Linked DNA regions of Saccharomyces cerevisiae S288C. The protein of the gene in region 1 binds, or shares a complex with, the protein of each later gene. Each region holds a gene or a part of one and is shown in the gene's direction. Other genes may lie near its edges.

What was found. The genes of interacting proteins can lie anywhere in the genome.
Region 2: the proteins of STU2 (region 1) and TUB2 are in contact, whole or in part, in a crystal structure (PDB 4U3J), measured with the Saccharomyces cerevisiae proteins. Residues at the interface, in NP_013146.1 of Saccharomyces cerevisiae: Ser339 (codon at 5,009), Trp341 (codon at 5,015), Arg344 (codon at 5,024), Ala384 (codon at 5,144), Asn385 (codon at 5,147), Ile386 (codon at 5,150), Gln387 (codon at 5,153), Lys425 (codon at 5,267), Lys427 (codon at 5,273), Lys428 (codon at 5,276), Lys469 (codon at 5,399), Thr470 (codon at 5,402), Pro471 (codon at 5,405); in NP_116616.1 of Saccharomyces cerevisiae: Tyr106 (codon at 2,236), Thr107 (codon at 2,239), Glu108 (codon at 2,242), Ala110 (codon at 2,248), Glu111 (codon at 2,251), Asp114 (codon at 2,260), Lys154 (codon at 2,380), Glu157 (codon at 2,389), Pro160 (codon at 2,398), His195 (codon at 2,503), Ser400 (codon at 3,118), Glu401 (codon at 3,121), Gly402 (codon at 3,124), Glu407 (codon at 3,139).

The regions. Positions count from the first base shown.
Region 1 is NC_001144.5:232,138-241,697, reverse strand, and holds STU2 (Stu2p), read left to right. Parts: upstream 1-3,994; coding exon 3,995-6,661; downstream 6,662-9,560. Other genes in the region: FRE8 (putative ferric-chelate reductase), read left to right, coding at 291-2,351; YLR046C (uncharacterized protein), read left to right, coding at 2,885-3,697; PDC1 (indolepyruvate decarboxylase 1), read left to right, coding at 7,617-9,308.
Region 2 is NC_001138.5:54,416-58,626, forward strand, and holds TUB2 (beta-tubulin), read left to right. Parts: upstream 1-1,920; coding exon 1,921-3,294; downstream 3,295-4,211. Other genes in the region: ACT1 (actin), read right to left, coding at 272-281; Rab family GTPase YPT1, read right to left, coding at 951-1,571. UniProt on the Saccharomyces cerevisiae protein: Tubulin is the major constituent of microtubules, a cylinder consisting of laterally associated linear protofilaments composed of alpha- and beta-tubulin heterodimers.

The DNA.
Region 1 (9,560 bases):
ATGCATGTAAAATAAGTAATAAAATTTAAGTTTAGGGTAAAAACGTTTGGTGGTATCCGTTATGGAAGATTAACACTCTGTACAGCCTCAATTTCTTTTTTATTTCCCTTCAAATTTAGGTGGAAAAAGAAAAAGCTAGTGTTGATCTCTTATTTTTGCCAAGCTTTTAATTATCACGTTGCCACTTTAACAGTTTTATTACATCTACATCTCTTCAGATTAAATCGTTAAATTACAATAGAAGTTCCGCTAAAAAAGTTTACTGTATTTTATTTATTGTTATTTTCAGCATGAATTTAAAGTCCATCGTTAGCTGGTTCAAGGAACATCTTCCCAGTTTTGATGTCGACGTGGACAAGCATTTTAGAACTTTAAGAGTCCGCAAATATTCTCAGATATGTCTTTTAATTTCTTTCATTATAATATGTGTTATTATACCCTTAATGAATTATTTGTTGCTAACTGACAAATTCTTCAAAATATGTCACCATTTAAAGCATCATGTTTTCAACAGAAGATCATGGGTTCACAAAACACATATGTATCACAAACAGTCACTACAACTATGTTTAATATGCTTTGTTTTCACCTCGTTTTTTGTTATACAAGGCGCTAACGGAGATCTGTTAGAAATTACTAAGCGAATGGGGAGAATTTCCGTTGCTTTGATGCCACCTTTACTATTTCTAACGTTGAGGCCATCACCGTTACCTCACACGTTATACTTAGCATTGTTACCTCTCCACAAATGGATTTCCAGAATTGTTGTGCTTGAATCTATTCTACACACGTGGTTCTATCTCTATTACATGTACATTAATGATACGTTATACGTGAAAATGAGAAAACTACCCAACATTTATGGGGTTATTGCCCTCGGCCTTTTCCTACTGATTGCCATCACCTCTGTGAGATATGCCAGACGATGGAGCTACAGAGTTTTTTACTATGTTCACTATGTAAGCACATGGCTTATTTTGGTGTTTCTACATTATCACGCTCGCCCAGGAATTTCATATTATACCACTTTAAATGTGCTCATATTAACGGGACAAATCGTCTATAGGCTCCATATCACCAATGTTACGAGAGTTACGATAGTACCCATTTCTTCATCATTGTCTCTTTTGGAGTTCCCATTAACCGATTTACCCAAAAAGCCCATCCTACCAGGAGGGCATCTAAGGATCAACATTTACCATAGAAATTTTTTAAGGAGGTTTTTCTCCCATTTGATACCCTTCCAACATCCTTTTACTATTGCTAGTATTCCAAGTGATAATTTGGTCAGGTTAATTATTAGAAACGGGCATTTTCCATTGCGTACAAATGAAAAGTATTACATTACAGGGGCTTTTGAACCTGAGTTGAGTTTCATTTCTAAACCTACTGTTCCTTTTAATATTACCACGAAATCTTCCAAGAATCCATTTCGAAACAATTCTTCTGCACTAATAAATTCGCCTTTAAATTTTCTAATTAAAGCGCAAAGAGTGTTTATGTGTGTTGGAGGTTCAGGAATTTCCTTTGGCTTACCACTACTTCGTATTCTAAACTTCAACGGTGTAAACGTTAGGCTCCTTTGGGTTTCTAGAGATTATAAGGATCTGGAAGTATTGAACCACTTCAAAAACAATTTTGAAGGTATGGAGATATATATTAGTGGCACCGAAGGCAACGAACAGGACATAGAAATTGATTATATTGACTATCATGACTGCGCTGCTGATATTAATGATGAAGTCAGGAGTATTTCTTCGAGCGGCCGAGTTTCAGAACTGGGAGATAATTCCATGTTATCAGATGGAAATCCCCAACCTACGGAGCCCAATGAGAACACAGCCCTTCTAAGTAAGAAATCTACCTTGAGAAACCATCACCCACCAAAAACAAGTGATATACCTGACATCAATGCTGATGACGAGATAGATTTTACATATGCTTTTAGCAGATCCAAATCAAGGAAAAATACTGCACAAGGAACTCTAACTACACATTCTTCGTTTAACGGATCGAGCGTTTTCAGACAACCAAAGATCATTGAGCCACCTGCCCAAGATCCTTGTTTAGAGGCGGCGCCTAAAAAGATCAGAATTCCCGCAGGTGTTAAAGTGTTCTTTGGCAGGCCTACACTTGGAGATAAGGATTATGAATGGTGTCTGCAAACCGAATGTGATGCAGAGACGGATTCTATTCAATGTTGCAGGTGGGCGAATCAAGGCAGAGACCATGCTGAATATTTGTCACAAGTATGGGTTCTCGCTGCAGGCCCTAGAGGCTTAATTGAAAGCACCAAAAGATGGGCGACAGATGGTGGTTTACACTTTCACGGAGAAAGTTTTGCATTATAAGAGTTGCAAGTTGGCTATTAGTTTATGAGGCTTGGAAAATTCACGTATTTGATGGTGGCATATCTATAATGTCCCGTTTTGCTCTTTAATCTTACTGTCAAAAAAGGGCCCTATGTACGATCTTTTCTAACTGATTTTTTCCGAGAAAAGTTCCGCAGGCTGATTTAGTTTTTTTCTGGTGGTTGTCAAGCCTCTCTCCACTTGGTGATAGTTGCGAAAAATGACAGCGGATATTAATGGATATTAGCGGGAATAAGCACATTTCCATATTGATTATTTGTATGTCTAGCAACTTATAAGATGAATTATAAAAGGCATATAAGTTCTTCTTGGTACTGAATACATGACACTCTCACTACTGTACTAGAGACTTATTGTCGATAAAAGAACTCAACTGCCTCAATAGGAATTTTTTTACTAAAGCAATCACTGATTATGAAGGTTTTTATGCATACAATCCTCACAAAGGTGCAGCGATTGCATTTGTCGTTCTGTTTGGCATTTTAATCCTTTCTGCCTTGGTGCAGATCATAATGGCAACACACACGAGCAAGAGACGTATTCATCGCTGGGAAAACAATGAGTTGTCAGAGGAAAATTCCACAATAATATACTTTCCTGCCCGCGGTTTGATGTGGACACATTTTCCTTTCGTTTTAGGGATTTGTTTAGAGTTCGTGGGTTATGTGTTGAAAATAGTCTTTATCAATAGCCCCTCGATTTCGACTTTCATTGCTCAATCGGTGCTTCTATTGATAGCACCTTCACTTTACGCCCTTAGTATTTTTATGTTGTTCAGCAAAATGGCACGTCTAATTCTTATGGAGGCATATATGTTAATTCCTGCGAAATTTAGTACAGTTTCTTTCGTAGTGGCAGATATGATTGGGCGTGTCCTACAGGCTGTAGGAGGTGGGTTGTTATCCTCATGGAACAGCAGGAATACTGGGCGTATCCTAATTATTGTGGGTCTTTTCATTCAGATATTTTGTTATACCTTTTTAACGTTCAGTCAACTTTTTCTTCACTATAAAATGAAGGCAACGCCTAGTAAAATTGTGCGGGATAGTAATGAATGGTTCCAGTACAATTTTATACTTTTAGCTGGGATATTGCTGGTTAATGGTAGAACCATTGTCAGAGTAGTACAATTTCTAATGGGCTTACAAAGCTATATAGGTCAGCACGAATGGTGCCTTTACGTTTTCGATACAGTTCTAATGTTTTTACTACCTTTGATTTTCCTAGCAACCTTTCGCGCAAGAAATTTGTTCAAGCTGCAGGATAAATCTGTCAATATTCAATTAAACAAATTATTAGACAAGGAATCTGTGTCTGAAGATTAAGTAGTCAAAAATTTATTAATTAAATAGTTGGATAATATTTGTGCTGGGCATTAGAAGTCAATCTTGTCTTTTCCTTTATATGGTGCAAAGATTATCATGGTTAACGAATCTATTTTTTTTCGTGTCGTTTTTGTTTTTGTTTTTGTTTTTGTTTTGTCTGCTTGACACTCCATAGGAAGAGTAAATGAAGAACCTACCAGACCTAGGGACCAAATAGCATTACTAAACTACAAAGAAACAGCTATCTTTACAGTGTAAAGTATTTTTGAGTTTTTATTAAAGAGTTTGAAGTTGACTATGTCAGGAGAAGAAGAAGTAGATTATACAACGTTACCCCTAGAAGAGCGATTAACGTACAAGTTATGGAAGGCACGTTTAGAAGCTTATAAGGAGTTAAACCAGCTTTTTAGAAACTCCGTTGGCGACATCAGTAGGGATGACAACATACAAATTTACTGGAGGGATCCTACATTATTTGCACAATATATAACTGATTCTAATGTGGTCGCTCAAGAACAAGCCATTGTTGCCTTGAATAGTTTAATAGATGCCTTTGCGTCATCGTCTTTGAAAAATGCACATAATATTACTTTAATATCAACATGGACACCATTGCTTGTGGAAAAGGGCTTAACGTCCTCAAGGGCTACAACGAAGACGCAGTCGATGAGCTGTATACTCTCACTATGTGGTCTTGATACATCTATTACGCAATCGGTGGAATTGGTAATACCCTTTTTCGAGAAAAAACTGCCAAAATTAATTGCTGCGGCAGCCAATTGTGTTTATGAGTTGATGGCTGCATTCGGGCTCACTAATGTGAACGTTCAAACGTTTCTACCAGAATTATTAAAGCACGTACCTCAACTAGCCGGTCATGGTGATAGAAACGTTCGATCACAAACGATGAATTTGATTGTCGAGATCTATAAGGTTACGGGCAACAATAGCGACTTGTTAGAGGAGATACTGTTTAAAAAATTAAAACCAATTCAAGTGAAAGATCTTCATAAATTGTTTGCAAAAGTTGGTGACGAGCCATCGTCATCGAAAATGTTATTCGAGTGGGAGAAAAGAGAATTGGAAAAGAAAAGAAGCCAAGAGGAGGAAGCCAGGAAAAGAAAGTCCATATTATCGAATGATGAGGGGGAATATCAGATAGATAAGGATGGAGATACATTGATGGGGATGGAAACGGATATGCCACCATCAAAACAGCAAAGTGGAGTTCAAATAGACACCTTCAGTATGCTACCGGAGGAGACGATCCTCGATAAACTGCCTAAGGACTTCCAGGAAAGGATAACGTCGTCCAAATGGAAAGATAGAGTGGAAGCGCTGGAAGAATTTTGGGATAGTGTTCTATCGCAGACTAAGAAGTTAAAAAGCACCTCGCAAAATTATTCCAACTTATTGGGGATATATGGCCATATTATCCAGAAAGATGCAAACATTCAAGCTGTTGCACTAGCCGCTCAATCAGTAGAATTAATCTGCGACAAACTAAAAACACCAGGCTTTTCCAAGGATTATGTTTCACTAGTCTTCACTCCCTTGTTAGACAGGACAAAGGAAAAGAAACCTTCTGTGATAGAGGCCATTAGGAAGGCATTATTAACCATCTGCAAGTATTACGATCCATTAGCCTCCAGTGGACGCAATGAAGATATGTTGAAAGATATTTTGGAGCATATGAAGCACAAGACACCTCAAATCAGAATGGAGTGTACGCAATTGTTTAATGCAAGCATGAAAGAAGAAAAAGATGGATACTCGACCCTGCAAAGATACTTGAAGGATGAAGTGGTACCAATTGTGATTCAGATCGTCAACGACACCCAACCTGCTATAAGAACTATTGGATTTGAGAGTTTCGCCATTCTAATTAAAATATTTGGCATGAATACCTTTGTGAAAACATTAGAGCACTTGGATAATTTGAAAAGGAAAAAAATTGAAGAAACGGTCAAAACTCTACCTAATTTCAGTATTGCAAGTGGTAGTACCCATAGCACTATTGAAACGAATAAACAAACTGGGCCAATGGAGAATAAATTTCTCCTGAAAAAAAGTTCTGTACTTCCCTCCAAGAGAGTGGCATCTTCACCGCTGAGAAATGATAACAAAAGTAAAGTGAACCCAATAGGGTCAGTAGCCTCCGCATCAAAACCATCAATGGTAGCTGCTAACAATAAATCGAGGGTCCTGTTGACGTCTAAGTCTTTGGCAACGCCAAAAAACGTAGTAGCTAATAGCACTGACAAGAATGAAAAGTTGATTGAAGAATACAAGTACAGACTGCAAAAACTACAAAATGATGAGATGATATGGACCAAAGAAAGACAAAGCCTATTGGAAAAGATGAATAATACAGAAAATTATAAGATCGAAATGATTAAAGAAAACGAAATGCTAAGAGAGCAACTAAAGGAAGCGCAGTCTAAATTGAACGAAAAGAACATTCAATTAAGATCCAAGGAGATTGATGTCAATAAGCTGTCTGATAGAGTACTGTCACTAGAAAACGAGCTTAGAAACATGGAGATCGAATTGGATAGAAATAAGAAAAGAAATGATACAAACTTGCAATCGATGGGTACGATTTCATCATACTCCATACCTTCTTCCACCGTGTCAAGCAACTATGGGGTAAAATCTTTATCTTCCGCTTTGCCATTTAAGGAGGAGGAAGATGTCAGAAGGAAAGAGGACGTCAACTATGAAAGAAGATCAAGCGAGTCCATCGGCGACCTGCCGCACCGCGTAAACTCTCTTAACATACGGCCGTACAGAAAAAACGGCACTGGAGTGAGCAGTGTCTCCGACGATTTGGATATCGATTTCAACGATAGTTTTGCCTCAGAAGAAAGTTATAAACGTGCCGCTGCAGTGACATCTACCCTAAAGGCCAGAATTGAAAAAATGAAGGCCAAATCAAGGCGGGAAGGGACAACCAGGACGTAAAGGGTAGCCTCCCCATAACATAAACTCAATAAAATATATAGTCTTCAACTTGAAAAAGGAACAAGCTCATGCAAAGAGGTGGTACCCGCACGCCGAAATGCATGCAAGTAACCTATTCAAAGTAATATCTCATACATGTTTCATGAGGGTAACAACATGCGACTGGGTGAGCATATGTTCCGCTGATGTGATGTGCAAGATAAACAAGCAAGGCAGAAACTAACTTCTTCTTCATGTAATAAACACACCCCGCGTTTATTTACCTATCTCTAAACTTCAACACCTTATATCATAACTAATATTTCTTGAGATAAGCACACTGCACCCATACCTTCCTTAAAAACGTAGCTTCCAGTTTTTGGTGGTTCCGGCTTCCTTCCCGATTCCGCCCGCTAAACGCATATTTTTGTTGCCTGGTGGCATTTGCAAAATGCATAACCTATGCATTTAAAAGATTATGTATGCTCTTCTGACTTTTCGTGTGATGAGGCTCGTGGAAAAAATGAATAATTTATGAATTTGAGAACAATTTTGTGTTGTTACGGTATTTTACTATGGAATAATCAATCAATTGAGGATTTTATGCAAATATCGTTTGAATATTTTTCCGACCCTTTGAGTACTTTTCTTCATAATTGCATAATATTGTCCGCTGCCCCTTTTTCTGTTAGACGGTGTCTTGATCTACTTGCTATCGTTCAACACCACCTTATTTTCTAACTATTTTTTTTTTAGCTCATTTGAATCAGCTTATGGTGATGGCACATTTTTGCATAAACCTAGCTGTCCTCGTTGAACATAGGAAAAAAAAATATATAAACAAGGCTCTTTCACTCTCCTTGCAATCAGATTTGGGTTTGTTCCCTTTATTTTCATATTTCTTGTCATATTCCTTTCTCAATTATTATTTTCTACTCATAACCTCACGCAAAATAACACAGTCAAATCAATCAAAATGTCTGAAATTACTTTGGGTAAATATTTGTTCGAAAGATTAAAGCAAGTCAACGTTAACACCGTTTTCGGTTTGCCAGGTGACTTCAACTTGTCCTTGTTGGACAAGATCTACGAAGTTGAAGGTATGAGATGGGCTGGTAACGCCAACGAATTGAACGCTGCTTACGCCGCTGATGGTTACGCTCGTATCAAGGGTATGTCTTGTATCATCACCACCTTCGGTGTCGGTGAATTGTCTGCTTTGAACGGTATTGCCGGTTCTTACGCTGAACACGTCGGTGTTTTGCACGTTGTTGGTGTCCCATCCATCTCTGCTCAAGCTAAGCAATTGTTGTTGCACCACACCTTGGGTAACGGTGACTTCACTGTTTTCCACAGAATGTCTGCCAACATTTCTGAAACCACTGCTATGATCACTGACATTGCTACCGCCCCAGCTGAAATTGACAGATGTATCAGAACCACTTACGTCACCCAAAGACCAGTCTACTTAGGTTTGCCAGCTAACTTGGTCGACTTGAACGTCCCAGCTAAGTTGTTGCAAACTCCAATTGACATGTCTTTGAAGCCAAACGATGCTGAATCCGAAAAGGAAGTCATTGACACCATCTTGGCTTTGGTCAAGGATGCTAAGAACCCAGTTATCTTGGCTGATGCTTGTTGTTCCAGACACGACGTCAAGGCTGAAACTAAGAAGTTGATTGACTTGACTCAATTCCCAGCTTTCGTCACCCCAATGGGTAAGGGTTCCATTGACGAACAACACCCAAGATACGGTGGTGTTTACGTCGGTACCTTGTCCAAGCCAGAAGTTAAGGAAGCCGTTGAATCTGCTGACTTGATTTTGTCTGTCGGTGCTTTGTTGTCTGATTTCAACACCGGTTCTTTCTCTTACTCTTACAAGACCAAGAACATTGTCGAATTCCACTCCGACCACATGAAGATCAGAAACGCCACTTTCCCAGGTGTCCAAATGAAATTCGTTTTGCAAAAGTTGTTGACCACTATTGCTGACGCCGCTAAGGGTTACAAGCCAGTTGCTGTCCCAGCTAGAACTCCAGCTAACGCTGCTGTCCCAGCTTCTACCCCATTGAAGCAAGAATGGATGTGGAACCAATTGGGTAACTTCTTGCAAGAAGGTGATGTTGTCATTGCTGAAACCGGTACCTCCGCTTTCGGTATCAACCAAACCACTTTCCCAAACAACACCTACGGTATCTCTCAAGTCTTATGGGGTTCCATTGGTTTCACCACTGGTGCTACCTTGGGTGCTGCTTTCGCTGCTGAAGAAATTGATCCAAAGAAGAGAGTTATCTTATTCATTGGTGACGGTTCTTTGCAATTGACTGTTCAAGAAATCTCCACCATGATCAGATGGGGCTTGAAGCCATACTTGTTCGTCTTGAACAACGATGGTTACACCATTGAAAAGTTGATTCACGGTCCAAAGGCTCAATACAACGAAATTCAAGGTTGGGACCACCTATCCTTGTTGCCAACTTTCGGTGCTAAGGACTATGAAACCCACAGAGTCGCTACCACCGGTGAATGGGACAAGTTGACCCAAGACAAGTCTTTCAACGACAACTCTAAGATCAGAATGATTGAAATCATGTTGCCAGTCTTCGATGCTCCACAAAACTTGGTTGAACAAGCTAAGTTGACTGCTGCTACCAACGCTAAGCAATAAGCGATTTAATCTCTAATTATTAGTTAAAGTTTTATAAGCATTTTTATGTAACGAAAAATAAATTGGTTCATATTATTACTGCACTGTCACTTACCATGGAAAGACCAGACAAGAAGTTGCCGACAGTCTGTTGAATTGGCCTGGTTAGGCTTAAGTCTGGGTCCGCTTCTTTACAAATTTGGAGAATTTCTCTTAAACGATATGTATATTCTTTTCGTTGGAAAAGATGTCTTCCAAAAAAAAAACCGATGA
Region 2 (4,211 bases), on another chromosome or scaffold:
CGATGTTAGTACATGAGACTTAGTAACAGTAGCAAATAAAAGAAGAATATCACTATCACTTATCACGAAAATATTTCAGTTTTTTTTTTTTTTCCAAATTTCAAGCCCCTATTTATTCCAATAATATCGTGGTTATTACAGATCAGTCAATATAGGAGGTTATGGGAGAGTGAAAAATAGTAAAAAAAGGTAAAAGAGAAATCTCTCGAGCAATTGGGACCGTGCAATTCTTCTTACAGTTAAATGGGATGGTGCAAGCGCTAGAACATACCAGAATCCATTGTTAATTCAGTAAATTTTCGATCTTGGGAAGAAAAAAGCAGTAAGCGTGAAAAATCTAAAAGCTGATGTAGTAGAAGATCCTATTCTTTAACAAAGATTGACCTTTTCTTTTTCTTCTTGGTTTGAGTAGAAAGGGGAAGGAAGAATACAAGAGAGAGGAAAAAAAGGAAGATAAAAAGAGAGCGTGATATAAATGAATATATATTAAACAAGAGAGATTGGGAAGGAAAGGATCAAACAAACCCAAAAATATTTCAAAAAGGAGAGAGAGAGGCGAGTTTGGTTTCAAAACGGTTTATTTATTTATGCAAGAGGACGTGGAAGAAAAAGAAGAAGGAAGAAAAAAATTTGAAAGAAAAAAACGCGTGGCGGGTAAAGAAGAAAATGGAAAATAGAGGCCGGGTGACAGAGAAATATTGAGGGTTAATTGGAAAATATGTTAGGGTGAGGCATATGTTTTTAAGGGTTTTGAGGATCCGATAAGGAAGAATGTAGGTTAAATGTTGTGCATTAATTGCTGTGGCAGCTTACCCGCTTCCCCACACATTTTGGTAGTATCTGTCCTCTTGTTATTGTTACTGTAATTGTGTATATATGTTCTCGCGTGTGTCTTATTTACTTATTTAGTTATTATATTATATGGGTCTGCAAGGTAGAGGCGCGCTTGTTCAACAGCAGCCCCCACCGGTGTTGGTTAAACTCTGTCCCTTCAGGTTGACGTTCCCTTTGTCTTCCTTCTTCTGAGTGGTTTCGTTCAGGTTTTGTTGGGACATACTTTCCTTGATTTGTCTAGCCATGGTTAAAAACGCATCCTCGACGTTGGTGGAGTCCAAAGCACTAGTCTCTAAGAACGGCATCTTATTCGCGTCCGCAAATTCCTTTGCCACGTCATATTCCACGACACGCTTGTCCTTTAAATCACACTTGTTACCTACCAATAGCTTCAACACTGTTGAGGTTGCATACCGATCAATCTCTTGCAGCCACATCTTCACGCCGTTGAAGGATTCTTGGTCAGTGACATCATACACGATAATGATCCCATGCGAACCACGGTAGTAAGATGAAGTGATAGTACGGAAACGTTCTTGACCTGCAGTGTCCCAAATCTGTAGCTTTACAGTCTTGCCGTCCAGTTCTACAGTCTTAATCTTGAAGTCCACTCCAATTGTGGAGATGTAGTCGTTGGTATATGTGTCGTCCGAAAACCTCAAAAGTAAACAGGACTTCCCGACACCGGAATTCCCGATCAACAGCAGTTTGAACAGGTAATCGTACTCGCTATTCATATTAGTGCTTTTCTTGTTTTATTTATTTCAACCTGGGCCTAACAGTAAAGATATCCTCCTCAAAACTGGTGCACTTAATCGCTGAATTTGTTCTGGCTTCTCTTCTTTTTCTTTATTCCCCCCATGGGCCAAAAAAAATAGTACTATCAGGAATTTGGCGCCGGGTCACGATATACGTGTACAGTGACCTAGGCGACGCCACAAGGAAAAAGGAAAAAAACAGAAAAAACAACAAAAACTAAAACAAACACGAAAACTTTAATAGATCTAAGTGAAGTAGTGGTGAGGCAATTGGAGTGACATAGCAGCTACTACAACTACAAAAGCAAAATCTCCACAAAGTAATATAATGAGAGAAATCATTCATATCTCGACAGGTCAGTGTGGTAACCAAATTGGTGCTGCATTCTGGGAAACTATCTGTGGTGAGCACGGTTTGGATTTCAATGGGACATATCACGGCCATGACGATATCCAGAAGGAGAGACTGAACGTGTACTTCAACGAGGCATCTTCTGGGAAGTGGGTTCCAAGATCTATTAACGTCGATCTAGAACCTGGGACGATTGACGCAGTACGCAATTCTGCCATCGGGAATTTGTTTAGACCTGACAATTATATCTTTGGGCAAAGTTCTGCGGGCAACGTGTGGGCCAAGGGTCACTACACAGAAGGTGCTGAGCTTGTAGACAGCGTCATGGATGTTATTAGACGAGAGGCCGAAGGATGCGACTCCCTTCAAGGTTTCCAGATCACACATTCTCTTGGTGGTGGTACCGGTTCCGGTATGGGTACGCTTTTGATCTCGAAGATTAGGGAAGAGTTTCCTGATCGTATGATGGCCACCTTCTCCGTCTTGCCCTCTCCGAAGACTTCTGACACCGTTGTCGAACCATACAATGCCACGTTGTCTGTGCACCAATTGGTAGAACACTCTGATGAAACATTCTGTATCGATAACGAAGCACTTTATGACATCTGTCAAAGGACCTTAAAGTTGAATCAACCTTCTTATGGAGATTTGAACAACTTGGTCTCGAGCGTCATGTCTGGTGTGACAACTTCATTGCGTTATCCCGGCCAATTGAACTCTGATTTGAGAAAGTTGGCTGTTAATCTTGTCCCATTCCCACGTTTACATTTCTTCATGGTCGGCTACGCTCCATTGACGGCAATTGGCTCTCAATCATTTAGATCTTTGACTGTCCCTGAATTAACACAGCAAATGTTTGATGCCAAGAACATGATGGCTGCTGCCGATCCAAGAAACGGTAGATACCTTACCGTTGCAGCCTTCTTTAGAGGTAAAGTTTCCGTTAAGGAGGTGGAAGATGAAATGCATAAAGTGCAATCTAAAAACTCAGACTATTTCGTGGAATGGATCCCCAACAATGTGCAAACTGCTGTGTGTTCTGTCGCTCCTCAAGGTTTGGACATGGCTGCTACTTTCATTGCTAACTCCACATCTATTCAAGAGCTATTCAAGAGAGTTGGTGACCAATTTTCCGCTATGTTCAAAAGAAAAGCTTTCTTGCACTGGTATACTAGTGAAGGTATGGACGAATTGGAATTCTCTGAGGCTGAATCTAATATGAATGATCTGGTTAGCGAATACCAACAATACCAAGAGGCTACTGTAGAAGATGATGAAGAAGTCGACGAAAATGGCGATTTTGGTGCTCCACAAAACCAAGATGAACCAATCACTGAGAATTTTGAATAATTAAGTTGCTTTCCTTTCTTTTTCTTACCTTTCTTCTTCTCTAGGATTGAAGCACTTGGAGCAAAATAAACAAAAATCAAAAAAACTAATTAAATATCTTTAAAATATTACCGTACGAAAAAATTTATACCATTCCCTACTGAAGTATGTAATTCAAAATATATATATGTATATGTATATGTACATATATATGTATATACTATCTTAACAACCTTTAACCTTCCGAGCTATTGATTTTTGATCCTCACTTCAGCGGCTAAAAAAAAAAAAAACACCCCGAGTATTAGTGAATATAGATATATATATATATATATATATATATAAGGAGGCCGATAAAAAAGAACTTGCAATATTACGCAGATCAGGGATTTACTAAAAGAAAAGTAATAAAGGACTGCTGCTTCCAAAGAAAGAAGATTACAACATGTTGATGATTGTGGAAGCGGTGCTTATGGTATTCTACCTGTTTCCCCAGAATTTTGTTGAGAACTAATCATGAACAAAAAACTGTGTTTTATATTGTGATTTCCATAATTCCATTACAATTTTGTACCAAGCATAGGTCTGATTATCAACAATACGCTGCTTCAGTCCTTTTATTTAGCAGTACGTTGCTTGTTATTCCTTCATCATCTAGCCGCCATAGTTGGAACCCCGCGTGAAAAATGATATACATTTCGTATTCAGTGATCTGGGGTTGCATGAATAAAAATTCTGGGTAAATTGTGGGTGGGTACACTTTGGCAAAGGCTAACCCCGAATTTTTCATTATTTCGGTTTTTTTTCTTTTTAATTTCAAGAAAATGGAAAACTTTAAGAATAACGACGTTGATTTTAGCCTCTCCGTGAAGATATTGGTAAAAAGATAGGTGTCGTCGATTATAGCCACCAGCTTTTACAAAAGATACCACCAGCTT